2 linked regions of the Saccharomyces cerevisiae S288C genome follow. Changing the gene in region 1 together with any one later gene gives a genetic interaction. Each region holds a gene or a part of one and is shown on either strand. Other genes may lie near its edges.

Region 1 (15,206 bases):
TTTTATTTACTCCAGAGAAAACCGTCATTGATCTTGTATATACTATGTAGAACAGTGAAATATTTTTCCTTTTTTTTTTTATTATCAAGAATCACTTGTGTCAGTTATCGTTAAATTCCAGGTTACAAAAAGATTGTAAATGCCAGGGAAAATACAATTCAAAAAAGTTACAGTATAGTTATATTTAATTACTTAAATTTACTTTTTTTACTATAAGGTGCTATTCCTGCATTCTTTTTTTAATTAATCAGGACTTATAAGCTGATAGTACTTTCATTCTTTTTTTTTTGTGTGATAAGGCCATTGAACATTATGGAAGACTAACTACTTTTTCTTCAAGAAAATTGTGTGCTTCTACTCTCGTTCAATACAGGAAATTTTAATTCCAACAGAGTGGAAATTTATGGTTTTCTTACCACAATAAATTTCTCAATTGTTAAAATCTGAAAAGTTGGCAGCCCTGGCCCTGTCAAAGAAAGTATTATTATGCGTCGCGAAATTTCTTTTTCTTCACGCCTTGTTTTTAGTTTGGGCATCTCGAAAGCATCTAATACAAAATCCAACTAAAGCACAGCATTCAATCTAGTAGAGAGAACAAGAGATATTCATCATGACCGGCATGGAATCAGGAGAGAATTTGGAAAACATGGAAGATATTTTGGCGAGACATCGCAAGGAAAATAAAGATTTACAGAATAAGATAACGGGTATGAAAAAGCAGGCTACTAAATCCAAAAGGAAAGAAGTTAATTCGAAATGCCTAGATCTTCAAGATAAACTAAAGACTAAGCAAGAAAATGAAATAAGGGATTGGAAAATTGCAAATAATGAAGTGTTTGACGCAGAACAAGAAGATGAAGTGACTCCTGAAAAACTTTTAGAACAACTATCCATATCTCGAGATGAGAAAGAACAACAGAATGTTCCCGTTCAACAACAGCAACAAGGCCAGACAAAGAAGCGTCGCAATAGACAAAAGGAAAGATTGGCCAAAAGAGATGCAGCAATTGCTAAAATGAAAGAAGAGGCTGCTTTAGAAGCATCCAAACAACCGGACTTGAAAAAAATGGAGCAGGAGTCTATAGATCAGTTATGCGAGTTGAAGAAACTGAAACAATTCGATATACAACCCGATGGCCACTGTCTCTTTGCATCTATATTAGATCAGTTAAAATTACGCCATGATCCAAAAAAACTGGATCAAGACATGGATGTCATGAAGCTGAGATGGTTGAGTTGTAATTACGTACAGGAGCACAGGGATGATTTCATTCCATATTTGTTTGATGAAGAAACTATGAAGATGAAAGACATTGATGAGTATACGAAAGAGATGGAGCATACAGCTCAATGGGGTGGTGAAATTGAGATTTTGGCTCTCTCTCACGTTTTCGACTGCCCCATTAGCATTCTGATGAGTGGAAGACCTATTCAAGTGTACAATGAATGTGGGAAAAATCCTGAATTGAAGCTAGTTTACTATAAACACAGCTATGCATTAGGTGAGCATTATAATTCATTGCATGATTCTTGATTTTTCCCATCCGTATCTAATGAGATATGCTTATTTGTAAACCTTAATGCATCTATTTAATTGTATAGTTTGAAGCATATGGATATAAAAGAATAAAGAGAAGTAATAATCGGATATGAACATTGGTGGAGGAAAATTTTTACTTGGGAGGATATCGAATAATCCAACTTCAGGGATAGTAGGGCTTGCTAATGTTGGTAAATCGACTTTTTTCCAAGCAATAACAAACTCAAAATTGGGAAATCCTGCAAATTATCCATTCGCTACCATTGACGCAGAATGTGCCAAAGTCAATATACCTAGCGTGCCGCTCTCTAATTTATTGAGAATATATCAGAGTGCGAAATGCGTACCTGGAACACTCACAATATATGATATTGCTGGGCTCACCAGAGGCGCATCTCAAGGCCATGGTTTGGGTAACAAGTTCTTAAACGATATCAGACACGTAGAGGGGATATTTCAAGTGGTGAGAGGATTCTTAAAGGAAGACATCACCCATATAGAAGGTAATGTTGATCCTGTCAGAGATCTATCCGTGGTACAAGATGAACTCATCTTGAAAGACTTAGAATTTCTGGAAAACATTAGGGAAAGACTTAGTAAGAAGATGAGAATGGTTTCGAAGAATTCTAAAGAACATCAGGAAATGAAGATAGAGACAGAATTATTAGATGCATTAGAGGAACATTTGTTTAACGGTAAAAAAATCCGGCATTTCAAAGATCATTGGAACCTGGATGAAGTCAAAATTTTGAATAAGCATAACTTTTTAACCTCCAAACCAACTTTGATATTGCTAAATGTTTCACCTCAAGATTACGTTAGGAATGAAAATAAATTTGTCAGAAATATTATAGAATGGATTAACGAATTTTCGCCAGGAGATAAATTCCTACTTTTCAGTGCAGAATTTGAATCGCAATTGATGGAATGTAAAGGCATAGCGTCAGAGTATTTTGACAAGATCAAGGAAGATACCAATGTTTCTGATCAACAGTTAGTTTCTGCGATACCGCAAATAATACTAGAAATGAGAAAGTTGTTGAACTTAATTAGCTTCTTTACATGCGGCCCACAAGAAGTTCACCAATGGAATATAAGGGAGGGAACCACCGCTCAAGAGGCCGCGGGTGTAATCCATAGCGACTTGCGTGAAACATTTATCAGCGCTGATGTAATAAAATATGACGATCTGAAGAAGATGGAACCACCGCTAAATGAGTCTTTACTAAAATCTAAGGGACTTATCAAACGTGCAGGCAAACAATATATTATGCAGGACAATGACATTGCCTTATTCAAAGCCGCCGGTGGGAAAATTAAGAAATAGTTTGTCATAAAAAATACTTGTAAATATGAATAGAAACGCTTGCTTTGTTTTGTCTTTTCCAATAATTACACAAGAATCAACAAAAGTATGAGATATATATATATATATATATATATATATTATATTTGCATAAGGTTTAACCACTGATAGTAAGACAGAGGTATATCGAGGAACTGTGTTTACCTAGAGTGGGCTGATTCTAATAGTGCAGCTATATGCGAAAATGAGAAAAAAGGAACCGCTGAATTCAATAATATATTTTGGTTAATGGACGAGAAAAAGAGGAATCTAATGGAAATTATTTCCAGTTAGAACCAGCTTAGTTGGAAGCAACAACAACTTCGACATCCACACCAGGTTCAATGGTGATTTGAGTGATTCTCTTAACGATTTGAACAGGAGCTTCCAAGTCGATGTATCTCTTGTGGATTCTCATTTCGTAGGTTTCCCAAGTCTTAGAACCTTCACCATTTGGAGTCTTTCTGGTGGAGATCTTCAAAACCTTGGTTGGTAGTCTGACTGGACCCTTCTTGACCAAGTTGTGTTGTTCAGCGTTCTTGACAATGTTGGAAGAGACGTTTTCCAATTGCTTAACCTTGGTGGAGGTCAAAGTGATTCTAATCTTGATGATTTGTTGTTGTTGTTGTTCTTGTTCTTCAACCTTTTCCTTTTGAAAGTCAGACATTTTGTATATACCTTTTTGTTTATTTTACTTGCTTTCTTGTAGGAGTTTCAATCTAAAGCTGAGCTTGAATGAAATAACCCATCTTTACTATTATTTTGAATTCAATACGGTCTATTACTCAATCTCTGAGGCTAGTCGCGAATGCGTCGAAGTTTTTTTTTCAAAATTAAAACATTATCGTTACCCGAACTTTATCTTCATAAAAATAGTTGTGGCATTTTTTCTCTTATGTTTACGGATGTAGAAAATGTACAGGTGTGAACTTGCAGGTAAACATTTTTACATTTTTACTTTTATCTTTTCCCCTTCTATAGAGATAAAAATAAGAAGTTTCAGGGAAATCTCTCTTTCCATAGTAAATAGTGTTAGCAGCAGACAAGACAAGAAGGATATCAATGACGATACGCATTTTTCCGAATGATCTGGTCAGATAATTCTTTTTTTCCCTTTATCGGGAGGTTTTGATGAGAAAACGATGTCAATAGTATTCTAGTCACAATAGGGAGCTAGACGGCTATTCAATCAGAATGCGACTATCCGGAGTTATCCTCAATGATAGACGTTTCTCCAGTTAGGAGCGCCAAGAATGTGTGAACAAAATGCACAAGGTGCAGATTTGGCGCTCTTTATCAGCGCTTCATACGGTAGATATGAACTTTAATTTTGAGATTAGCCAAGACCAAAGGTTCTCTTAAAGATGCAAAAGCAGTCATACAGGTATTTGTTTTATGCAGCAAGGCTGACTCAAACTAGGCATTCCAATTCTGTTTATCTATTGGTGCCGCACCTTTTTTCCGATGATGAAATGAGGCGGCGCACATTTGGGTGTTATCTTATCGGGATATTTTATGATAGCAAATGCGACAGACAATAATGCTCGAGAGTGGACAGGCCAATAGTCAGTTGCAGCATAGAAACAAGCAGGCGTACCTATGGGAAAGGTGTAACTCATCATTGCGCTTTCTACGGTACGGTTATCCTTAGATAACAGGCAAGATGTGCTCTATTCATCGGTGTTGCATGAAGATACGTCTTGTTCGCCAAGTATATAAAATGAAGCAGTAGTATAGCCGTAGCTTTACTATTGTTAGCAGTTTCCCTTGTCTAGATTCTTAAATTGGGTTCATCCAAGAAAAAGTAATAACATAAATTTGTCATTGTTATAGTATGGGAGAATTTAAACCTCCGCTACCTCAAGGCGCTGGGTACGCTATTGTATTGGGCCTAGGGGCCGTATTTGCAGGAATGATGGTTTTGACCACTTATTTACTGAAACGTTATCAAAAGGAAATCATCACAGCAGAAGAATTCACCACCGCCGGTAGATCTGTAAAAACCGGCTTAGTGGCTGCAGCCGTGGTTTCTAGTTGGATCTGGTGTTCTACATTGTTAACGTCGTCAACAAAGGAATATGCAGACGGTATATTTGGCGGTTATGCGTACGCTGCTGGCGCATGCTTCCAAATTATTGCATTCGCAATTTTGGCAATTAAAACCAAGCAAATGGCTCCCAATGCGCACACATATTTAGAATTAGTGAGAACAAGATATGGTAAGATCGGCCATGGTTGCTACTTGTTTTATGCCATCGCGACGAATATTTTAGTCACTTCAATGCTTTTAACTTCAGGTTCTGCTGTCTTTAGTGATTTAACCGGGATGAACACTATCGCATCATGTTTTTTACTGCCTGTGGGTGTTGTTGTTTATACTCTATTTGGTGGGATTAAAGCAACTTTCTTAACGGACTATATGCACACATGTGTCATTATCATCATTGTCCTCGTATTTGCCTTTAAAGTTTATGCGACTAGTGATGTTTTAGGCTCACCGGGAAAAGTTTATGACTTAGTTCGTGAAGCCGCCAAGAGGCATCCAGTAGACGGTAACTATCAGGGTGAATATATGACCATGACATCCAAATCCGCTGGTATTTTATTAATTATTAACCTGATTGGAAATTTCGGCACCGTTTTCCTTGATAATGGTTATTGGAATAAAGCGATTTCTGCTAGTCCCGCAGCGAGTTTGAAAGCATATGCCATCGGTGGGTTAGCATGGTTTGCAGTACCTTCTTTGATTTCATTGACCATGGGATTAGCATGTCTTGCGGTGGAAACGTCTCCGAACTTCCCCACCTATCCTGATCCACTTACTTCGTTCCAGGCAAATTCTGGGTTAGTCTTGCCGGCAGCTGCAATTGCTATCATGGGTAAGGGGGGTGCTGTGGCATCGCTGCTAATGATTTTCATGGCCGTCACATCTGCTATGTCTGCTGAACTAATTGCCGTTTCATCTGTTTTCACTTACGATATCTATAGAGAATATATTGATCCTCGTGCAAGCGGTAAGAAATTGATTTACACATCACACGTTGCTTGTATCTTTTTTGGTCTTGCCATGAGTGGATTTTCGGTTGGTTTATACTATGGTGGTATTTCTATGGGTTATATCTATGAAATGATGGGTATAATTATTAGTAGTGCAGTATTACCTGTCGTTTTGACCTTATGTTCCAAAGACATGAATTTGGTGGCCGCTGTAGTGTCGCCTATTTTGGGCACAGGACTGGCTATAATGTCATGGCTTGTCTGTACCAAATCCCTTTATAAAGAATTGACCGTGGATACTACGTTCATGGATTATCCAATGTTAACAGGTAACTTGGTGGCTTTGCTATCACCAGCCATTTTTATTCCTATTTTAACGTATGTGTTTAAGCCACAAAATTTTGACTGGGAGAAAATGAAAGATATTACTAGAGTTGACGAAACTGCAGAGTTAGTTCAGGCTGACCCTGATATCCAGCTTTACGATGCTGAAGCTAACGATAAGGAACAAGAAGAAGAAACAAATTCTCTGGTCTCAGATAGTGAAAAAAACGATGTTAGAGTAAATAATGAAAAATTGATTGAGCCTAACCTTGGTGTTGTAATAAGTAATGCCATTTTTCAAGAAGATGACACACAGTTACAAAATGAATTAGACGAAGAACAAAGAGAACTAGCACGTGGTTTAAAAATTGCATACTTCCTATGTGTTTTTTTCGCTTTGGCATTTTTGGTAGTTTGGCCCATGCCCATGTATGGTTCCAAATATATCTTCAGTAAAAAATTCTTTACCGGTTGGGTTGTTGTGATGATCATCTGGCTTTTTTTCAGTGCGTTTGCCGTTTGTATTTATCCACTCTGGGAAGGTAGGCATGGTATATATACCACTTTGCGAGGCCTTTACTGGGATCTATCTGGTCAAACTTATAAATTAAGGGAATGGCAAAATTCGAACCCACAAGATCTGCATGTAGTAACAAGCCAAATTAGTGCGAGAGCACATAGACAATCATCACATTTCGGACAAGTTGATGAAATAATTTAGCTTTCAAAATATAATATTCTATCCACTCATCAACCTCATTAATAATTTTTAAATAGCTCTAATTATAAAATAGTCTTTCATTATAGGTACATAAAAGAAAAGAAAGTCAAGGGGAAAAAAAAAAAAAAAAGGAAATTTCTAAATTTATGTTATTTGGTCCGTTTATGTAGTACTTCTATCATTTTTTGCATCTCTGTCGTAATCTACGTCGAACAATACGTCATTATTTGCGTTCGTATTTGCATTTACACTTGGCACTTCTTCAAAATCGGATGCTAAATCAATATCCATATTGTGATCGTGTTCCTGGTAGTCATTACGTGGCTCTCTATTAGGCAATGCCTCATCAGACAAGGAATTTATGTCATCTAAATCGAATTCTGATACATTTTCCATGTCAGTTGGTAATTGATGCGAGCACGCTAGTAAATATGATGTACTTGTAGGTCTCCAGAAGAATGCGAAAATGACGAAGACCAAGAAGTAAACGAAACTAGGCCAAGTATCTGTGATGAGGAATTCTGTTTTCCAATATTGTTCTATCATGTCAACAGTGTCCATACCGACGTATGCAAAAGTAGAGACTAGTAAGCCTAAGAAGAGTATAAACAACGAAATATAACACAATATGATCAGTTTTCTGTACATGTTTAATTTCACCACTTGGTTTTGTTCCCTCAAATAAGTCATTGTTTTGTTCATTGAAGACAGTGTCAAATAATAGAAAGCGAATAGACATAATACTAAGGGGATAGCAGTAATCAAAATCAAATTGGATAAAGACTCAGAATTCTGGGAATATTTTTGGACCAGGAATGCAACGCACACTGCAAACGTAAATATCGCAAATATTTGACATCTTCTTAGCAATGTACGGTCCAGTTTTGGATATACTATACCATATCCAAGAGATATCAGCAAGGCGAGGAGAAGCGTGAAAGTCATCTTACCGGCGCTAAAGATCGATATGAAAACCATATAGACATGAAGAGCGACGCTGGAGTTTCCCTTCTGGTTCTCAATAATATAGTACATCCAGACGAAAATAGTATCAGCTGTTAGGAAAATACAAAATACCAAAATGTACCTTTGTAAAGGCAGTAACTCATGTCTATGCTTCCAGCATAGCCAAGAGTACACTAATGTACAGACGGCATAAGCGACGGCCAAAAAGGCATAAATAGGCATCTTGTACGCCTCTGAAGCGTCCAATTGACCGTAAGCGTTCCTAAAATTCACTGTAGCCTTAAACTTGGAACTGGAAGAAATGAAAGATGACGTGGTCACACAATAGTAACCAGTTTTGTTAATTGAGTATACCTTGTCGTTAGTGCCCAATTCTTGTTGAGTGAAAGTCAAAATCTGACTCGTTAGCTTATGTTCCTTACTGGTGAACGGATCGATGGCTGTCTCTTGAATGATAAATTGCCCCTCCGACGAATCCTCACAGAGGCCCAAATCCAATGCGTAGTCATCGCAAATATACTGAATTTCTCCATTTGGTAACCGCACACCAATATGCTCATAATCTTGGAAATCAAACACAGCAACACTAACCCCCTCGCCATCATCGTCTTCATCAGCAAGTGACAATTCCTCCAACGTAAACGATATATAGGGGTCAACTTTTCCATTGAAATCCTCCTTGGAATACATCCCTGAACAGACATCGTGATATTTTTGATTTATGCTTTCTTGGTTCCCTTGAACTACCCCACAGAGTAGCAACAGCCACGTCAGTAATAGCCACGTTCTATCCATTTTTCTGTTCGCTAGTTATTGTGTCTAGTTTGCCCAAAAATGATTTACACAATACAGTTGAAATTTCAATACCTTTTTTTTCAATTTTCAGTTTTTCCATGTTGCAATGCGAGAATGGGTATGGGTAGCAAAAATTTCTAGTAGTAAAATCGATAGGAAAAAAAAAATGGAAAGAGCAATAGCCTTTTAGACCTGCCCTGCCTTATCAAGTTGTCATCTCATCGATGTAGGAATCTATTCTCTTGGCCATCCGGACGTCTATATCGCTAAGCTGGCTGTGAGCCCCGTCTTTCGGGTCTATGTCATGCGTATGAAGTTCCAGCTTGACCCAGGTGTAACTTGTGTGAATCAGGGGATGGTGGCCCCATAGATGAGATCTCATCGATACACGAGTCAAAAAGGCCCATGTGGTTTCGTAGTCCTTGAATGTTACCTCTCTTGTTATTCCCAAACATTTGGTCTTATTAGGGTCCCATTGAACTTCCCAACGGGTCAAGGGTTTTAGCTTCTCGAGTAGTTTGCCCCCTGTGAGTGCACTGGACGCGATTCTAACAATCTTGTTGTGCATTGTATTCTTACTTTGGTTTCTTTCTGCTTTTGGTAGGTTGTGTTTACTGTTTTATAACTGGAAGGGCTTAAATTCCAGATTGGAAAATTGAGAATGCCTTGGACAAAAAGCAAATAAAGGGACCCAAAAATAGTAAAGAGGAAATCAGGAAGGAAAGGCATGTCGTCAAGCCTTTTTATCCTGGATGAAAATCTGGAGCCATTGGTATCGAAGAATATTAGAGCACTACCGAATCTATCGTCGGTTCTTTCAAGTTTCAAACAATGTTATCATGACGGGTCGCCTCCAATTCTCTCCCAAAACGATTGGTTCTTTATACATTTGAAGAGAGACTTTCTGCATTTCGTTTCAGTGATACATACCACAGACAAACCAAATATAGACTTAATGACTATACTAGCCTTTTTGGAACAATTTTATCATCTTTTACAAAAATATTTTGAAATCGAGGTCTTAACTAAGAATGTCATACTGGACAACATCTTACTTGTCCTGGAGTTGATTGATGAATGTATAGACTTTGGTATCGTACAAGTGACGGATCCAAGTATCATCAAGGACTACATTCGTGTGAAGGTCAACGTACCAAGAGTTACAGTAGACAATGAGGAGTGGAGCCCTGGTGAAGAGAGCAGTAGTAGTAGCGGTAGCGATAGCGATAGCGAGTACAGCAATACTAATAAGAGGAAGGATAAGAAGAAGAAAAGGAAGAAGAAAAAGGGCACTAAAGGGAAAAGCGTGGGCAAAAGTAAATTAAAAAGTATAATGGTAAACAATAAAGAAAATAGGGGCATAAACGTGGTGGAAACTGTCAAGGAGACACTAAGGAACAAGAATGATACCGGTAAAGAAGCCGCTAATGACGAGCTCCCCAATGACGGTAATGATTTATACATCAATGGCGATATTGCGAAGACGATTATAATGCCCATATCATGGAGAACAAAGGGGATACATTACGCCAAAAACGAGTTCTTTCTTGATGTTATTGAACGTGTTCAGTACTTGATGGATTTTGAAAAAGGAGTGATTAGGAAAAATCTGATACATGGAGAGATTGTGTGCAGATGCTATTTATCAGGGATGCCCAAACTGAAAATATCCATAAACAAGATACTGAACAGGGACCCCCAGTTCATGTCGAATTCCAGCTTTCATCAGTGTGTTTCACTAGATTCCATAAACACTATTGAAAAAGATGAAGAAAAGAATAGTGACGATGATGCTGGTTTGCAGGCCGCCACAGATGCAAGAGAAATCGAATTTATACCGCCGGATGGCGAATTTGTTCTTTGCCAATACGAGTTGAAGAGACATGTAAAGGATGCGCCGATGGTGAGGTTGAAAGATTTTGAAATCAAACCTAAACTGAAGAAGTTTAAAATCCAAATTGTAACCAAAATTCAAACAAATTTTAAACCCACCAACTCAACGTCGAAGCTAAACGTGAGAATTCCCCTGACAAAAGTCTTCCAGGAATATAAAATAGACCTCAGCAAGCAAATTAGATTCAAGGCAAACATCGGCAAGGTCGTGTTTAACTTGAGTGACGATTTTCTCCTCTGGGAGATACAAACCATGAAGGGGCACCGAGAACATAGCACAAACAAGAGCTCACAGTACAACAGCGACGAAGATGATCCAAATACGTGTGCATCCATGGTGGCAGAGTTCCCCCTCTTCAACCAGGAAGAATATGACCGCCTGCAAGAAGAAATGAAAACCTCAATGAATCCGCCGCCCTTGCGCACGGGACCCAGGCTGGAAGAACTATATAGACAAGTGCACGACCAACAAACTTCCCACGTTACTCCTCGAGATAAGTTGGTCAACATTGATTTCGAGATTCCGTACTGTACATGCAGTGGCCTGAAAGTTGAGTACTTGAAGGTCGAAGAGCCACAATTGCAGTACCAGTCTTTCCCCTGGGTCAGATACAAGACCGTCAGCGACGAAGAGTACGCATATATTGTTTGACGCTTACGCAGACATCTCATAGATAGACAAATGGTACGTTCGTTTTAGTATATAGATGGCACCTTATAATCTTCATATGCAACCGGGTAAAATCGGGCGTTCTTATTTTTTTTTTTTCCACCTCAATGAGAGGGATTAATAAGAGGATTGGAGCAAGACAGCGATCTGCACTTAGCCAAGAAAGCATATCAGGCCAGAACGTGGCATTTTGTTTACAGTGCTGATTAAAGCGTGTGTATCAGGACAGTGTTTTTAACGAAGATACTAGTCATTGATGTCTGAAAATCAACGTTTAGGATTATCAGAGGAAGAGGTAGAAGCGGCTGAAGTACTTGGGGTGTTGAAACAATCATGCAGACAGAAGTCGCAGCCTTCAGAGGACGTCTCACAAGCTGACAAAATGCCGGCAAGTGAGTCGTCTACGACGCCGCTAAACATTTTGGATCGCGTAAGTAACAAAATTATCAGTAACGTAGTGACATTCTACGATGAAATAAACACCAACAAGAGGCCACTGAAATCAATAGGGAGGCTGCTAGACGATGACGATGACGAGCATGATGATTACGACTACAACGACGATGAGTTCTTCACCAACAAGAGACAGAAGCTGTCGCGGGCGATTGCCAAGGGGAAGGACAACTTGAAAGAGTACAAGCTGAACATGTCCATCGAGTCTAAGAAGAGGCTTGTAACGTGCTTGCATCTTTTAAAGCTGGCCAATAAGCAGCTTTCCGATAAAATCTCGTGTTTACAGGACCTTGTTGAAAAGGAGCAGGTGCATCCTTTGCACAAGCAAGATGGAAATGCTAGGACGACCACTGGAGCTGGCGAGGACGAGACATCGTCAGACGAAGACGACGACGATGAGGAGTTTTTTGATGCCTCAGAGCAGGTCAACGCCAGCGAGCAGTCTATTGTGGTGAAAATGGAGGTGGTCGGCACAGTCAAGAAAGTCTACTCGCTGATATCGAAGTTCACAGCAAATTCGCTGCCGGAGCCCGCAAGATCTCAGGTTCGGGAAAGTCTTCTAAACTTACCCACAAATTGGTTCGACAGCGTCCACAGTACATCACTGCCGCATCATGCTTCGTTTCATTATGCCAACTGTGAAGAACAAAAAGTGGAGCAACAGCAACAGCAACAGCAACAGCAGCAGCAGCAGCAACTTTTGCAGCAGCAACTCCTGCAACAGCAACAGCAAAAAAGGAACAAGGATGGCGACGACTCAGCCTCGCCGTCCTCCTCCGTAACTGCGAATGGGAAAGTACTCATTCTCGCCAAAGAATCCCTGGAAATGGTGAGAAATGTCATGGGCGTAGTCGACTCCACGTTGGGCAAGGCTGAAGAATGGGTGAAGCAGAAACAGGAGGTAAAAGAAATGATCAGGGAGCGTTTCTTGCAACAGCAGCAACAGTACAGGCAGCAACAGCAGAAGGATGGCAATTACGTAAAGCCCTCTCAGGACAACGTGGATAGCAAGGACTAACCGAGACAGATTGAGGTCTTTCATGCATTACCACCAGTAATAATATTATACGGAATAATATAGTTTATATAATATCCATAATCATAATCATAATCATAATCATAATCATAATCGTGATATTGTACCAGCCCCGCTTCTCCCCTTTTGAACTACCATTATTATCGGACCCTCTTTACCTTTGAATGGCTCAGTAAGGACCTTTGCGCAGCCGTAAGGGGGTCGGGAATACATTTCCGGGGTTGATCCTCGAGGAAAAGTGCTATCTATATAAGGAGAAGCCCTTCTAGATCCAAATATCAGGGGTAACTCTTCACAACTGGCCAGGAACATATTCCAAGTTAAAAAGAAAAAATAATTATTAGAAACCAATTACCAACACAAGATGCTAAGATCAAATTTATGCAGAGGATCTCGAATCCTTGCAAGACTGACCACTACACCAAGGACATACACATCTGCGGCGACAGCTGCGGCTGCGAATCGGGGACATATCATCAAAACATACTTCAATAGAGATTCTACGACAATTACGTTCTCCATGGAGGAGTCCAGCAAGCCGGTTTCCGTTTGCTTTAACAACGTTTTTCTTAGAGATGCCTCCCATAGTGCCAAGCTGGTGACCACGGGAGAACTGTATCATAACGAGAAATTGACCGCTCCTCAGGACATTCAAATTTCTGAGGACGGAAAATCTCTAGTGGTGAAATGGAAAGATGGCGGTCATCACCAGTTCCCTTTACAATTCTTTATCGACTATAAAGGTTCCAGTTTTGTTTCGCCAGCAACAAGAAAACAAGAATCCAGATATAGACCCCAGTTATGGAATAAGCGCATCCTGAAAGATAACGTCAAGGACTTACTTTCTGTGAGCTACAACGAGTTTATTGATCCTAAGGATGACTCCAAGCTTTTCCAAACGCTGGTCAACCTACAAAAGTTTGGTATCGCTTTCATTTCCGGTACTCCTTCATCCTCCTCTGAAGGCCTTACCATACAAAAGATCTGTGAAAGGATCGGACCCATAAGATCGACTGTACATGGTGAAGGTACATTTGACGTGAATGCATCCCAAGCGACAAGTGTTAATGCCCATTATGCCAATAAAGACTTGCCGCTACATACGGATTTACCATTTTTAGAAAATGTGCCAGGTTTCCAGATTCTACAATCTCTACCTGCTACAGAAGGGGAAGATCCCAATACTAGACCCATGAATTACTTCGTGGACGCATTTTATGCTACCCGTAATGTTAGAGAATCGGATTTTGAGGCTTATGAGGCTTTACAAATTGTTCCTGTAAATTATATATATGAAAACGGCGATAAGAGGTACTACCAATCCAAACCTTTAATCGAACATCACGACATTAACGAGGACAATACTCTTCTGGGTAATTATGAGGCCTTGATTAAATGCATTAACTACTCTCCACCATACCAAGCACCTTTCACTTTCGGAATTTATGATAAGCCCTCAGATCTAAATAATAATCTGGACTTGAATTTAATTACCACCCCAGCAAAACTAACAGAGAGATTTTTGTTTAAGTCTTTCATTAGGGGGTTGAACTTGTTCGAGAGTCATATCAATGACTTCAACAATCAATTTAGATTGCAGTTGCCCGAAAACTGTTGTGTTATCTTTAACAACAGGAGAATTTTGCATGCTAACTCTTTAACAAGCTCAAACCAGCAATGGTTAAAGGGTTGCTATTTCGATTCTGATACTTTCAAGAGTAAATTAAAGTTCTTGGAAGAGAAGTTTCCTCATGACAAATAACTTCATTTTTTCAGCATAGTTATGTGATTCTTTATATTTATTTATTTTCTCTCTGTGTAGTGACAATTTTTTTTTTAATGTTTCATGTTAAATATATTTATTTTAAGAAGCCGTCAGTTTCCTTTTGTTTCATTGAAATCAATAACTAAAATTAAAATTATAAAAGGAATAACGTAAAAGAAAGTCTACTACCCAAGGAAAATCTACTTTATTTAGTGATTATATCCAACTAAATATCATTCAAATAACCTCACATATTTGTCTTCACCCTTAAGATTTTACGATTTACTAAGTTCACCTTCTCATGGCTTTGGAGGGATTGCGGAAAAAATATAAAACAAGGCAGGAATTGGTCAAAGCACTCACTCCTAAAAGACGGTCCATTCACTTGAACTCCAATGGTCACTCCAACGGAACTCCCTGTTCAAACGCAGATGTTTTGGCTCATATTAAGCATTTCCTGTCATTGGCGGCTAATTCATTAGAGCAACATCAACAGCCTATTTCAATCGTCTTTCAAAACAAAAAAAAAAAAGGCGATACAAGCAGTCCTGACATTCACACAACATTGGACTTCCCTTTGAATGGCCCGCATCTATGCACTCATCAGTTCAAGTTGAAAAGATGCGCAATCCTTTTAAACTTATTGAAAGTCGTTATGGAAAAATTACCGCTAGGTAAAAACACTACAGTGAGAGATATCT
Region 2 (15,765 bases), on another chromosome or scaffold:
GCAACGCTGCATAAACGCTGTTGGTGCCGTAGACATATTCGAAGATAGGATTATCATTCATAAGTTTCAGAGCAATGTCCTTATTCTGGAACTTGGATTTATGGCTCTTTTGGTTTAATTTCGCCTGATTCTTGATCTCCTTTAGCTTCTCGACGTGGGCCTTTTTCTTGCCATATGGATCCGCTGCACGGTCCTGTTCCCTAGCATGTACGTGAGCGTATTTCCTTTTAAACCACGACGCTTTGTCTTCATTCAACGTTTCCCATTGTTTTTTTCTACTATTGCTTTGCTGTGGGAAAAACTTATCGAAAGATGACGACTTTTTCTTAATTCTCGTTTTAAGAGCTTGGTGAGCGCTAGGAGTCACTGCCAGGTATCGTTTGAACACGGCATTAGTCAGGGAAGTCATAACACAGTCCTTTCCCGCAATTTTCTTTTTCTATTACTCTTGGCCTCCTCTAGTACACTCTATATTTTTTTATGCCTCGGTAATGATTTTCATTTTTTTTTTTCCACCTAGCGGATGACTCTTTTTTTTTCTTAGCGATTGGCATTATCACATAATGAATTATACATTATATAAAGTAATGTGATTTCTTCGAAGAATATACTAAAAAATGAGCAGGCAAGATAAACGAAGGCAAAGATGACAGAGCAGAAAGCCCTAGTAAAGCGTATTACAAATGAAACCAAGATTCAGATTGCGATCTCTTTAAAGGGTGGTCCCCTAGCGATAGAGCACTCGATCTTCCCAGAAAAAGAGGCAGAAGCAGTAGCAGAACAGGCCACACAATCGCAAGTGATTAACGTCCACACAGGTATAGGGTTTCTGGACCATATGATACATGCTCTGGCCAAGCATTCCGGCTGGTCGCTAATCGTTGAGTGCATTGGTGACTTACACATAGACGACCATCACACCACTGAAGACTGCGGGATTGCTCTCGGTCAAGCTTTTAAAGAGGCCCTAGGGGCCGTGCGTGGAGTAAAAAGGTTTGGATCAGGATTTGCGCCTTTGGATGAGGCACTTTCCAGAGCGGTGGTAGATCTTTCGAACAGGCCGTACGCAGTTGTCGAACTTGGTTTGCAAAGGGAGAAAGTAGGAGATCTCTCTTGCGAGATGATCCCGCATTTTCTTGAAAGCTTTGCAGAGGCTAGCAGAATTACCCTCCACGTTGATTGTCTGCGAGGCAAGAATGATCATCACCGTAGTGAGAGTGCGTTCAAGGCTCTTGCGGTTGCCATAAGAGAAGCCACCTCGCCCAATGGTACCAACGATGTTCCCTCCACCAAAGGTGTTCTTATGTAGTGACACCGATTATTTAAAGCTGCAGCATACGATATATATACATGTGTATATATGTATACCTATGAATGTCAGTAAGTATGTATACGAACAGTATGATACTGAAGATGACAAGGTAATGCATCATTCTATACGTGTCATTCTGAACGAGGCGCGCTTTCCTTTTTTCTTTTTGCTTTTTCTTTTTTTTTCTCTTGAACTCGAGAAAAAAAATATAAAAGAGATGGAGGAACGGGAAAAAGTTAGTTGTGGTGATAGGTGGCAAGTGGTATTCCGTAAGAACAACAAGAAAAGCATTTCATATTATGGCTGAACTGAGCGAACAAGTGCAAAATTTAAGCATCAACGACAACAACGAGAATGGTTATGTTCCTCCTCACTTAAGAGGAAAACCAAGAAGTGCCAGAAATAACAGTAGCAACTACAATAACAACAACGGCGGCTACAACGGTGGCCGTGGCGGTGGCAGCTTCTTTAGCAACAACCGTCGTGGTGGTTACGGCAACGGTGGTTTCTTCGGTGGAAACAACGGTGGCAGCAGATCTAACGGCCGTTCTGGTGGTAGATGGATCGATGGCAAACATGTCCCAGCTCCAAGAAACGAAAAGGCCGAGATCGCCATATTTGGTGTCCCCGAGGATCCAAATTTCCAATCTTCTGGTATTAACTTCGATAACTACGATGATATTCCAGTGGACGCCTCTGGTAAGGATGTTCCTGAACCAATCACAGAATTTACCTCACCTCCATTGGACGGATTGTTATTGGAAAACATCAAATTGGCCCGTTTCACCAAGCCAACACCTGTGCAAAAATACTCCGTCCCTATCGTTGCCAACGGCAGAGATTTGATGGCCTGTGCGCAGACCGGTTCTGGTAAGACTGGTGGGTTTTTATTCCCAGTGTTGTCCGAATCATTTAAGACTGGACCATCTCCTCAACCAGAGTCTCAAGGCTCCTTTTACCAAAGAAAGGCCTACCCAACTGCTGTCATTATGGCTCCAACTAGAGAGTTGGCCACCCAAATTTTCGATGAAGCCAAGAAATTTACTTATAGATCCTGGGTCAAGGCCTGCGTCGTCTACGGTGGTTCTCCAATTGGTAACCAACTAAGAGAAATTGAACGTGGTTGCGATCTTTTAGTCGCTACTCCAGGTCGTTTGAATGACTTGTTGGAACGTGGTAAAATTTCTTTGGCCAACGTCAAGTATTTGGTTCTAGATGAAGCTGATAGAATGTTGGATATGGGTTTCGAACCTCAAATTAGACATATTGTCGAAGACTGTGATATGACTCCTGTTGGTGAAAGACAAACTCTGATGTTCTCAGCTACTTTTCCCGCTGATATCCAACATTTGGCCCGTGATTTCTTAAGTGACTACATCTTTTTGTCTGTTGGTAGAGTCGGTTCTACTTCAGAAAACATTACTCAAAAAGTCTTATACGTTGAAAATCAAGATAAGAAGTCAGCCTTATTGGATCTATTGTCTGCATCCACTGACGGTTTGACTTTGATCTTTGTCGAAACTAAGAGAATGGCAGATCAATTGACCGATTTCCTGATCATGCAAAACTTTAGAGCTACCGCCATTCATGGTGACCGTACCCAATCTGAGAGAGAACGTGCCTTGGCCGCCTTCAGATCTGGTGCCGCTACTTTATTGGTTGCCACAGCTGTCGCAGCTAGAGGTCTAGATATTCCAAACGTCACCCACGTTATCAACTACGATTTACCAAGTGATGTCGATGATTACGTCCATAGAATTGGTAGAACTGGTCGTGCCGGTAACACCGGTCTTGCCACTGCCTTTTTCAACAGTGAAAACAGTAACATTGTTAAAGGTTTGCATGAAATTTTGACTGAAGCTAACCAAGAAGTCCCATCATTCTTGAAGGACGCTATGATGAGTGCTCCAGGTAGCAGAAGCAACAGCCGTAGAGGCGGTTTCGGTCGCAACAACAACAGAGATTACCGTAAGGCCGGAGGCGCTAGCGCAGGCGGCTGGGGCTCTTCAAGAAGCAGAGATAACTCTTTCAGAGGCGGTAGTGGCTGGGGTAGCGATTCCAAGTCTTCTGGCTGGGGTAACAGCGGTGGTTCAAACAACTCTTCTTGGTGGTGATTTCAGACAAACTAGGGTGAGGATTCTTCGTTTTCTGCTCTAGCATGTCTTATATTTTCTTTCTCCAATCACTTTTTTTATCCAAGTCCTGAAAATACTGTGTTGTTTGTTTCTCTCTAGCCGTTGATTGGCCCCATATTTTTTTTATTTTCTCACTGGGAGCCACTAATCTGTTACTTTTTTTCCACTCTTATTTTTTATCCATCGTTTTTTTGTTTTTTTTTTCTTTCATGGTTCTAATATTATTTTACAATTGTACTATAAAATGCCTTTGCTAATATTAACTAAAAAACTAAAGATTTCACTATGATTATAAGCAATTAAGATTTTCATCTTTTAGTGAAAAGATGAAGGAATTATTATCTACTTTTACTATATTTTCCACTATTTTTGCTTAATTGCTTTAACCGATCTATTCATTGGACTGATTATTTACATTATCTTTTATTTCCACTTCCACTTTTTCAGTTTTCTTCGAATAGAGACTTTATTTTGAACAGTTTTTTCGACCTTTTTTGTTTGTTATTGTTTCTTTTTACCTTACGAAAATATTCTTACTGTTCACAGTACCATTGTATAATAGTATTCATTTCCTTCCTACATTTTCTCTCCCTTTTTTGAGTTGAGGCCTTTTTATTGACTCGCCTTATACTCTACTTTATTTGTGTTTTGTAGATAGAATAAACATCAACAGTATAATTCATAATACTTTCTATTGCTTATTTCCTGTATATTCGTTTTTGAATATACTTTGTTCCCAACTTTCTTTTTAGTTTACTTACATTCATATTTACATGTGCGTTACTACTTATTGGTGCAACCAAGTGAACAGCGAGTCTTACCATTGGTAGTACCAATAGGGATTCTTTTTTTTTTCTAGGTGTTGAACCAAATCATAAGGATCATCGTCGACAAATCTTCTAGCAGATAAATCTTTCTCGGTTTTTTCTAAATACGACTTCTTCACTGCGTTCAAAGTATCAGCTTCATCCGGGGCCATCTCATACAGGGAACTGATGATCGGTCTATCTCTGGGACAGCTTGACTCTTTACCATTTGTTTCAATGTAACGCTGGTAGCCAGACTCAATCAAGTTTTCTAGCGGTTCCCTTATACCTACTTGGATACCCCTAGGTATCCATATCTCATGTAGTCCTTTGAACTCATACCTCCCAGTTGTCCTTAATAAAATATATCCTATATCTTTCAGAACGATCTCTATACTTCCAATAAATGGAGGTATTGCGTACCTTTTGTACTGGCTTTTTTCGCATATAACGCTTTTAATTCCACAATACCGTGATAACGGATGTGTGCCAGATGATGAATTGCACGAGTTGAATACATCAATACCTTTTTCAATGTTCTTGAATGTTTTTGATGGTCCTGGTATGTATTTCACAATCTGATTTATGGATCCTTTCGGAGGTACCAGGTAGAAAATCCCTCCCACGGTATAACAGCCTCCCTGTGATGTGCCCTTCATAGACTCATAAGTCTTCTGTTTTATATGCTTCCGATTGAATAAATCGGTTTTTCGCAGCCTTTGAAGCCAACGCTCGTCGATTAGTTCTTCTAGGCGTAATCTGGAGGTGGAAGTTGAATAGCCTGGAAGATCAAAAAGTATTTTACCTCCAACTTGGTAGGCTTGTACGGATCTAGTTAAATTGGGAATATGTGATACACCAGCAGCTTGAATCTTGAAAAAATTCTTCGGGTTCGTAAAAGCTTCTTGCATCACTTCTTCAGAGGGGGAGTTAATTTTCCCAGTAGAATCAATTTTAACCTTATATCCAAGATATTTCTGTAGTAGAGTATTGATCAAAGTTGATTTACCAACATTAGGGTTGCCTAGCAAATATGTGTAGTTTTTAAAGTAGTTGTAAAACATGGATATGTTCCAGTTTTTCAGCGCAGATATGGCGAATGTTTTATTTGAGTCAATTCTTAAAGTGTTCTTTAAAAATTGCTTCATGAATATAGGAACCTTTTTGCTGACAGCATTTTTATCTTTAAAAACTTGATCGCTTTTCGTTAACACTAATGTAGTATCTAAATCATTTCGTTTCAAAACATTGGGGTCTAAATGTAAGGGAAATTCTACAAAGGGGACAATATGCATAACATTTGAGCCTCTGGGGACGTAGTTCAGAATATCATTTAATGTGCTTTCGGGAAACTCTTCCGGGTTATAATTGTTATGATGAAGGGCATTACTGCACCTTTTGCAAATCACTCTCAATAGTAAATCTCTTTTGGTTTTGAGGTCAGGATCATTTTGAGTTGCCTGTTTCGAGAGCTGTATGTCTTGACTGAATAGCAAATACTTCAGATCTTGGAGGTCAGGATTTAGTTTTGAGTCGGGTAGACTTTTTGGCTTCGTATAATATCCTGGTTTACTAGGATCCTGATCCTGTAGTTTTATGGAACATGACGCACATTTCACTTTCACAATCACAGAACAGGAAAACTGACGTACGCCTCGAAGAGCATGACACAGATTCAACATTCCCGCATATTGAATTGTTCAAAGTAATTAGACGTGTTACTAGGAAGGTCCTTCGTTAATATTGCTCTGTTAAATGTATCTTGACCCATAACATCAAATAGTAGTTATCATCTTCGACGAGTTTTGAAAAATTTTCTGAATTTTTTCTTCCGATGAGATGAGCATGATATTTACAGAGAAAATAGAGAAACAGAATACTTGTACATGGGTAAATTCATTTATACTAATTTTTGAATTGTAAGAGAGATAGAGAAGGTCAACAATAGAATAAGTGGAGATGGGTAAAGTTTCTAAATCGACCAAGAAGTTTCAATCGAAGCATTTGAAGCATACTCTAGACCAAAGAAGAAAGGAAAAGATCCAAAAGAAGAGAATCCAAGGCCGTCGTGGCAACAAAACTGATCAGGAAAAGGCCGATGCTGCTGGTACTAGGGAACAACAGCAGTTGAAAAAATCTGCAAAGGAAGAGGTTTTTAAGGACATGTCTGTCGAAACTTTTTTTGAAAAGGGCATCGAAATTCCAAAAGAGAATAAAAAATTGAAGAAAAAAACTACGAAAGAGCAATCTGATGAAGATTCCTCCTCTTCCGAAGAGGAGGAAGACATGGGACAAAGCATGGCAAAGTTGGCCGAAAAGGATCCCGAATTTTATAAGTATTTGGAGGAAAATGATAAAGATTTATTGGACTTCGCAGGTACCAATCCATTGGATGGAATTGATAGTCAAGATGAAGGTGAAGATGCTGAAAGAAACAGTAATATTGAAGAAAAATCTGAACAAATGGAGCTGGAAAAGGAAAAAATTGAGCTTTCTTTGAAATTGGTTAGGAAATGGAAAAAACAACTTCATGATTCTCCAAGCTTAAAATTACTAAGGAACATAATCAGTGCTTTCAAGGTTGCTGTAAATTTGAACAAGGAAGAAAACATCGAAGACTATAAATATGCTATCACTGATGAGAAAGCATTCCACGAATTGATGTTCATGGTCTTGAAAGATGTACCACAAGCGATTCAAAAGATGGCCCCATACAAGATTGTAAAAGGCGCAAGGACCTTACCAAATGGAGGTAACGTCTCCAGGGTCTCGTCCATTGTCAAGTCGCATGCTGGCTCTTTGTTGATTTTATTGAATGATATTACTAATACGGAAACAGCAGCATTAGTTCTTCATTCTGTCAACGAATTGATGCCTTATCTTTTATCATACAGAAGGATCTTAAAGGAGCTTATTAAATCAATTGTTGGAGTATGGTCTACAACGAGAGAATTAGAAACCCAGATTGCTTCTTTTGCCTTTTTGATCAATACCACCAAAGAGTTCAAGAAGTCTATGCTAGAAACAACCTTAAAAACAACGTACTCCACTTTTATCAAAAGTTGTCGTAAAACGAATATGCGTTCTATGCCACTGATTAATTTTCAAAAAAATTCGGCAGCTGAATTGTTCGGTATCGATGAAGTTCTAGGTTACCAAGTTGGATTTGAGTATATTAGGCAATTGGCAATTCATTTAAGAAATACAATGAACGCGACAACTAAAAAATCCAGTAAAATTAATTCCGCAGAAGCTTACAAGATTGTATACAACTGGCAATTCTGTCACTCCTTGGATTTCTGGTCTCGTGTACTATCGTTTGCTTGTCAACCAGAAAAGGAAAATGGCAGTGAATCTCCTTTACGACAATTAATTTACCCATTGGTTCAGGTTACTTTGGGTGTAATCAGATTAATCCCAACACCACAATTCTTCCCATTAAGATTTTATTTGATTAAATCACTTATTAGACTTTCTCAAAATAGTGGTGTTTTTATTCCAATATATCCTTTACTTTCTGAAATTTTAACCTCAACGGCTTTCACTAAGGCACCCAAAAAGAGCCCTAACTTGGCTGCTTTCGATTTTGAGCACAACATCAAATGTACGCAAGCTTATCTGAATACAAAAATATACCAAGAGGGTTTGTCAGAACAGTTTGTGGACTTATTGGGCGATTATTTTGCTCTGTACTGTAAAAACATTGCATTTCCTGAACTTGTAACACCGGTTATTATCTCTTTACGCCGTTACATCAAGACTTCAACTAATGTCAAACTTAACAAACGTTTATCAACTGTTGTAGAAAAATTGAACCAAAACAGCACATTCATCCAAGAAAAGAGATCAGATGTTGAATTTGGGCCAACAAACAAATCTGAAGTTTCAAGATTTTTGAATGATGTAGCTTGGAATAAAACACCTTTAGGTTCTTATGTTGCAGTACAACGTGAAGTTAAGGAAGAAAAGGCCAGATTAATGAGAGAAAGTATGGAAGAACAAGACAAAGAAAGAGAAACAGAAGAAGCAAAATTATTAAACAGTCTGGAAAGTGATGATGACAACGAAGATGTTGAAATGTCAGACGCTTAACAACTCAGCAAGATTTGATTTTTTGTCTTGAATTCAATAGTTAAGTCTATAAATGTGTAAAATAAAGAAAAGTCTTTTTTAAAGCGTATATATCATTGTGCTCACATGTGCTAACATGTGAGCACTCCAAGCTTTCTCTTGTCAGCTGGATATTTTTATATTTTGGCCGGTTTATGGATAGAAAACACGTCAAACGTTCGATGGATCTTATAAAAAGTAATGATGTAAAGCAAGGTACAAAAATGAAAGAAGTACGGTTTACTGTTATATAATTTTCGAAATCGTTCAACTCTCTTAAAGTTCCTCACGAAATAGATATGATTGCTAACATAACGCAAAATTTAGTACAAGATATATGATTTCTTACTGCTGGAAGATATCTTCCAATCTTAATCTTGGGGCTATGTTCATGGATAATAATTCCTGGAATAACAGTTTTGCTGCATATGGAATAGTCATCTTAATAATATTCTCAGCACTTTTGCAGGTAGTACACCAACCACTATAGCCCATTAATCCACATTTATCGCAGACATCAACTTCAAAAGCATCTGAACTAATCATCAACCTTTCTAACAGCAATTGTGAAGCACCATACGCGATTACACAATCCCTCTCCATCTCACCCAACCTCAGACCACCATCTCTAGATCTACCCTCAGTTGGTTGACGTGTCAAAACAGCCCTTGGACCACGAGCTCTTGCATGCATCTTATCTAAGACCATATGCTTTAACTTTTGATAGTAAATGGGGCCAAAAAAGATGTAAGCCTGTAAACACTCACCTGTTATACCTGAATATAACATATCCTTACCGGAATAGTTGAAACCTTGGTCTACCAAAATCTTAGACATATCTTCAAGTTTAGAACCACCAAAACAAGTACCATATTCCAATGTACCATTCAATACACCAGCTTTACCCGATATCAGTTCGATCATTTTACCCACAGTCATACGAGATGGAAAACCGTGAGGGTTCATGATAATGTCTGGAACTATACCTTGATCGTTGAAGGGCATGTCTTCTTGCTTTACAATAATACCACAAACACCTTTTTGACCATGTCTAGAAGAAAATTTGTCACCTAATTCTGGCCTTCTGTTTTGTCTTAGCAAAACTTTGATTAAAGCTTGATCGTTATCCGAAACAGACATCATAACTTGGTCAATGTGAGAAGGTTCTGGACCTCTATATATTACCGGAGCTTCCCTATATTGAGTTTGGACGTTTACGTTGTTTGGGTTTGGGGCGTCTGCTGAGTTAGTTGGAACTGACTTATTTATATAAATTTGTCCACTTTGGACCTTCATACCCACCTCACCTAGACCATCAGGACCAAGAGATTGATGTTGCCAGATAGGATCTCCATTTTCATCAACTCTCATACCACCGATGATATCTTGGGTATGGTTCGCATATCTTTTCAAAACAGTGGTTGTCTTTCTACGTGTTTCGCAACGGCCGAAACCTCTATCGATGGATGACTTATTCAAAACCAAAGCATCTTCAATATCATAACCAGAATAGGACATGACAGCAACCGTAGCATTTTGACCAGCAGGTAATTTATCATAATCGATCAATTCAATTGTTTTGGTTTTCACCATTGGCTGTTGTGGATAAGTCATCAAGTATAATAATGTATCTATTCTCTTGAATTGATTGTAGGCGATTGCACCAATCGCTTGCTTACCCATCGCACATTGATATGTGTTACGAGGGGATTGGTTATGATGTGGATATGGAATTAAACCAGCAACAGCACCTAAAATTGTGAATGGCTCGATTTCTAAATGTGTCATCGAGGGAACTATATCTTTTTCATACAATGCAATGTAAGAATCGTTTTCTTCATTGACATCTAAATATTCCACCAATCCGAGTTTCAAAAAATCATCGAAATCTAACTCACCATCTAATAATTTGCGTAAATGAATATCTTTCACGCGAGATTGACCATCAGAAACAATGATTAATGGCCTACAAATTCTACCACCATCTGTTGCAATATGAACTGCCATTTGGTGAGAATTTGAATAAATTGAGATAAACTCCGACACTTTACCTGTTCTTCTCAGATGTCTGAACTGAGTAACGAATTTTGTTGGGAATCTGATTGAACCAATTAAAGTACCATTCAAATAAACACCATAGTTTAAATGCAAGGATGCACTGTCAATCAATGTTATGTCTTCTACACCAAGAACATAACATAATTTCTTTATAGGTTCCTCTTCGTCATCTGTAGTAATATGAGTCATTAATGCTAAATTTTTCACTAGACCACACGCCTCACCTTCTGGAGTATCTGCAGTACAAAGCATACCAAATTGAGAAGGTTGTAATGCTCTTGGACCGGAAACTTTTCTTGATTTTTCAAACTGAGAAGAAATTCTTGTCATCATACCCAATGCGGAAATATAAGATAGTCTGGAAAGAACATGTGTAACACCCGCTCTTTCCATCTTAAATCTTTTAAGAGACCAATTACCGGTTGAGATAGCTCTGTTCAGTCCGCTGGTGATGTTATTTGAATGGACGTTAATTGACAATAATGCATCGTATTCCATAGCCCTATTTGGTTTTTTCAAGACCTTATCAATGCTTAGTTTAAAATCATTATTAAACTTTTTGAACAAATCTTCGAACAATAAAGAAATCAATTGGCCTGCTAATTCAAGACGTTTATTACCAACATAATCTCTATCATCAATCATCTTAGGGTTATACATTGCCATCACCACCCTGCGCGTCATCATGGCAATATATAAAGCCTTTTCTCTAAAGTCAAGGGCTTCCACAGTCAAATGTGCAATAACCGTGGTAGCAATGGCCTCTATACCCTCTTGCAGGATAGTCAGTTTTTGCCTTCTCATTGTCTTTACTTTTGCACCAATATACTCTAAAGCTTGCTGTTGTGTGTAAATATCTAATTTCGAAGATTCTTCCAAATTGACTGCAAAAATATCTTGGTAGCTACTATCATTACCGCAAACCAATTGCATAATTTCTAAATCTGATAAAATACCACAGGCTTTGAGAACAATAGCAATAGGAATTTCTTCAGCGATGGAATTGTGCTTCAAATAGATCTTGCCATTTTTGGTAATGACATAAGTCTTAGATTTTCTTTCATGGGTAGATGAAGTAACGGAGGCCTGAACAATGCCTTTCTTCTCATCTGCCTCCACAATAATACGATTCTTGGATAATTGTTCTTGAACAAGAATTACTTTTTCGGTACCGTTAACAATAAAGTAACCACCAGGATCCAACGGACACTCGTTTAATTTAGCCATTTTCGATTCATCAGCATCATATAGGATACATTTATTAGATCTCAGCATGATCGGCATCCTACCAATTTCCACGTCTTTATGCATAATAATGTTTCTACCTCTAGTGTATTCTATATCCACGTAGATTGGTGCAGAGTATGTCATATCTCTAAGCCTACACTCATGAGGCGGAGTCAAATAATCTTTTGTCGAAGAAGAGGACTTCTTACCCACTCTAATATCGACGTACTTCAGGTAGAATTCTGGATCAACATCACTCAAAATTAATTGATTTGCCTTTATAATTTTTTTTAAATCTGTATCAACGAAGTAGTTAAATGAGTCAAGATGTTGCTTCACCAAACCTTTAACCTTCAAGAATGCTGGTAAAAGGTGCCACTTATCCTGAGCAGTATTGATTTCATCAGTTAGTTTCTTACCTTTATATACTGGTTTCAATAAATCATCAAAAGCCTCGTCTTTCACATGCTTATGTATATGAGTTTTCCGTCTTTTTGTCGCAGCAACCATTTTTCAACAAGCACTAAGTCCCTAGCGATTAAAACGCTCAATTATCAACACTTTAAACTCCCTTTAATTCTTTCCTAACTTGTCCATATATCATCACTTAAGCATAGATCGAAAAATTTTCAGCTCATCTCACAATTACAATTTCGTCCGACGTGATCTGGAAAATACGCGCCTGCTTTATGGAACTATTTATATCTTTATGTGTAGTACACCTAACAATAAGGAATATATAAAAATAATGCACCTATTAAAACCTTTGGGAAGTGCCAACTTTGAATCATCATCTTTCTTTGAACACCGCGCTGCGACCTTTGACAAGAAAGACGAGATCACTCAACCTGACAGACCCGATTCCCCTGGTTCCCCTCTTCCGCTTTGCACAGCCCTTTTCGCTTAGTTTGGAAGCCTAGGTCCGATCCCCAGTGCTATTAATAGTTTACAATAAAATAGGATCGACGTTGCTATTGATGGATCGCATAGCACAGCAATATCGTAATGGCAAAAGAGACAATAACGGCAATAGAATGGCTTCTTCCGCTATATCGGAAAAGGGCCACATACAAGTCAATCAAACTAGAACACCTGGTCAAATGCCCGTCTATAGAGGTGAAACTATAAATCTGTCTAACCTTCCCCAAAATCAAATTAAACCGTGCAAAGATTTGGACGACGTTAACATACGGCGGAACAACTCTAATAGGCATTCTAAAATACTTTTACTAGATCTGTGCGCTGGCCCCAATACCAACTCATTTTTAGGCAATACCAATGCTAAGGATATCACAGTTTTATCGTTGCCGCTACCCAGCACTTTGGTGAAAAGGTCGAACTACCCGTTCGAGAACTTACTAAAGAATTACCTTGGATCTGATGAAAAGTATATTGAGTTCACAAAGATCATCAAAGATTATGATATTTTCATTTTCAGTGATTCGTTTAGCAGAATTTCGAGTTGTTTAAAGACAACTTTTTGCCTCATTGAGAAGTTTAAAAAGTTCATCTGCCATTTTTTTCCATCTCCTTATTTGAAATTCTTTCTTCTCGAAGGCTCTCTGAATGATAGCAAGGCCCCCTCATTAGGAAAAAATAAGAAAAATTGCATCTTGCCCAAATTGGATTTGAACTTGAATGTAAACTTAACTTCAAGGTCAACTTTAAATTTAAGAATAAACATACCTCCACCCAATGATTCAAATAAAATATTTTTACAGTCTCTGAAAAAGGATCTAATTCATTATTCTCCTAATTCTTTGCAAAAGTTTTTCCAATTCAATATGCCTGCTGACTTAGCACCTAACGACACGATTTTACCGAATTGGCTAAAATTCTGCTCCGTAAAAGAAAATGAAAAGGTAATATTAAAGAAACTCTTTAACAATTTTGAAACTTTAGAAAATTTTGAAATGCAAAGATTAGAGAAATGCCTGAAATTCAAGAAAAAGCCTTTACATCAAAAGCAGCTATCACAAAAGCAGAGGGGTCCGCAATCCACGGATGATTCAAAATTATATTCTTTAACTAGTTTGCAACGACAGTATAAAAGTTCTTTGAAAAGCAACATACAGAAAAATCAAAAGCTAAAATTAATTATACCAAAAAACAACACATCTTCTTCGCCATCACCATTATCTTCCGATGATACTATAATGTCACCAATAAATGATTACGAACTTACTGAAGGAATTCAGTCTTTTACTAAGAATAGATATTCTAATATCTTACCTTACGAACATTCAAGAGTAAAGTTACCTCACTCCCCGAAACCACCTGCAGTTTCTGAAGCATCCACAACCGAAACTAAAACAGATAAGTCATATCCGATGTGTCCCGTAGATGCAAAAAACCACTCCTGCAAACCGAACGACTATATCAATGCGAACTATTTGAAGCTCACGCAAATTAATCCTGATTTCAAGTATATTGCTACCCAAGCTCCGCTTCCTTCTACGATGGATGATTTTTGGAAGGTTATTACTTTAAATAAAGTTAAAGTAATAATATCATTGAATTCTGACGATGAATTGAATTTAAGAAAATGGGATATTTACTGGAATAATCTGTCATATTCCAACCACACTATCAAACTTCAGAACACCTGGGAGAATATTTGCAATATTAATGGCTGTGTTCTCAGAGTCTTTCAAGTCAAGAAAACAGCTCCACAAAATGATAATATCAGTCAAGATTGTGACCTTCCGCATAATGGTGACCTTACTTCCATTACCATGGCTGTATCCGAGCCGTTTATTGTTTACCAATTACAATACAAGAATTGGTTAGATTCATGCGGCGTAGATATGAATGACATCATTAAACTACACAAAGTCAAAAATTCGTTATTGTTTAACCCGCAAAGTTTTATTACAAGCCTCGAAAAGGATGTTTGCAAGCCTGATTTGATAGATGATAATAATAGTGAGTTACATCTCGATACAGCAAATTCATCGCCACTATTAGTCCATTGTTCTGCAGGGTGTGGAAGAACAGGTGTTTTCGTTACCTTGGATTTCCTACTAAGTATTCTTTCACCTACAACAAATCACTCAAACAAGATTGATGTTTGGAATATGACTCAGGACCTTATCTTTATCATAGTGAATGAATTAAGAAAGCAAAGGATTTCAATGGTACAGAATCTAACTCAATATATCGCTTGTTATGAGGCATTATTAAATTATTTTGCCCTGCAAAAGCAGATAAAGAACGCGTTACCTTGTTAATAGAATTGTTTTTCTCCTATTATACAAACACTTTTCGTTTTGATAAATTACATAACCTCTCGTTGCATTTTATTTCATTATATAGATACATTAAAAATAAAAAAAAATAAATCTACAATTAACAATCTCCTCATAAAGAAACACGGGTTTTTTTACGTACTCGCAACTTCATATAATGTTTTATTTTTGCGATATCAGCTGCATATCTATATGTCATATTTATAAAATCGCAGAGATGTCAGTACCCATAACTGAATAATTAGGTCCATCTGTGCGCTTCGTTATCACCACTCCAACTTCGTTCAGTATATCCCAATTCCTCTTTCACTCTCTTCACAGTGGCAGGATCTCCCATATTTTTACCTAAGTTATCAGAAATTTTGATAGCGTGATTACCATTTACTTCTAATAGTTTGATAACGATGTTTAACGGCTCACTTTTAACCTGGGGTTCTGACTTCTTACGAAAATCATTAGTAAAGTTTGTGCCAATACCGAATGTGGCTAGCATTCCATTCTCTTTAGCTGCATGGGAGTAAGTTATTGCCTTTTCGACGTTCAAAGAATCGGAATAACAGATAATCTTCGAGAATTTAGGCAATTTCAACACGTCATGGTAATGGTGGGAAATCTTTTTGGTATACTCAACTGGGTCTCCAGAATCTTGTCTAACACCGACGTAAGCATCAGAATATGGTGGACGGAATGATTTTAAAAAGTCATCAGTTCCAAAAGTATCCGTTAATGCTAAACCAGCATTTTTTGCACCAAAAGTATTGATCCAACAATCCATTGCATTTTTATTGGCATGCAAATAATCTTCACTAATAGAAGCGACTCCCATAACCCACTCGTGAGCCACAGTACCGATTGGCTTGACTCCATAT

The links.
Region 2: mutations in YLF2 (region 1) and DED1 together harm fitness less than expected from each alone (positive genetic interaction), as found in Saccharomyces cerevisiae (2 studies listed by BioGRID).

The regions. Positions count from the first base shown.
Region 1 is NC_001140.6:63,758-78,963, reverse strand, and holds YLF2 (Ylf2p), read left to right. Parts: upstream 1-1,649; coding exon 1,650-2,867; downstream 2,868-15,206. Other genes in the region: YHL012W (UTP--glucose-1-phosphate uridylyltransferase), read right to left, coding at 1-28; deubiquitinase OTU2, read left to right, coding at 611-1,534; 40S ribosomal protein uS10 RPS20, read right to left, coding at 3,187-3,552; YHL015W-A (uncharacterized protein), read right to left, coding at 4,182-4,265; DUR3 (Dur3p), read left to right, coding at 4,720-6,927; YHL017W (uncharacterized protein), read right to left, coding at 7,090-8,688; MCO14 (4a-hydroxytetrahydrobiopterin dehydratase), read right to left, coding at 8,894-9,256; APM2 (Apm2p), read left to right, coding at 9,416-11,233; transcriptional regulator OPI1, read left to right, coding at 11,508-12,722; AIM17 (Aim17p), read left to right, coding at 13,105-14,502; and 1 more. UniProt on the Saccharomyces cerevisiae protein: Hydrolyzes ATP, and can also hydrolyze GTP with lower efficiency. Has lower affinity for GTP.
Region 2 is NC_001147.6:721,300-737,064, forward strand, and holds DED1 (DEAD-box ATP-dependent RNA helicase DED1), read left to right. Parts: upstream 1-1,611; coding exon 1,612-3,426; downstream 3,427-15,765. Other genes in the region: MRM1 (Mrm1p), read right to left, coding at 1-409; imidazoleglycerol-phosphate dehydratase HIS3, read left to right, coding at 647-1,309; GEP3 (Gep3p), read right to left, coding at 4,265-5,935; mRNA-binding ribosome synthesis protein NOC2, read left to right, coding at 6,213-8,345; DNA-directed RNA polymerase III core subunit RET1, read right to left, coding at 8,709-12,158; tyrosine protein phosphatase PTP2, read left to right, coding at 12,626-14,878; NPT1 (nicotinate phosphoribosyltransferase), read right to left, coding at 15,138-15,765. UniProt on the Saccharomyces cerevisiae protein: ATP-binding RNA helicase involved in translation initiation. Remodels RNA in response to ADP and ATP concentrations by facilitating disruption, but also formation of RNA duplexes.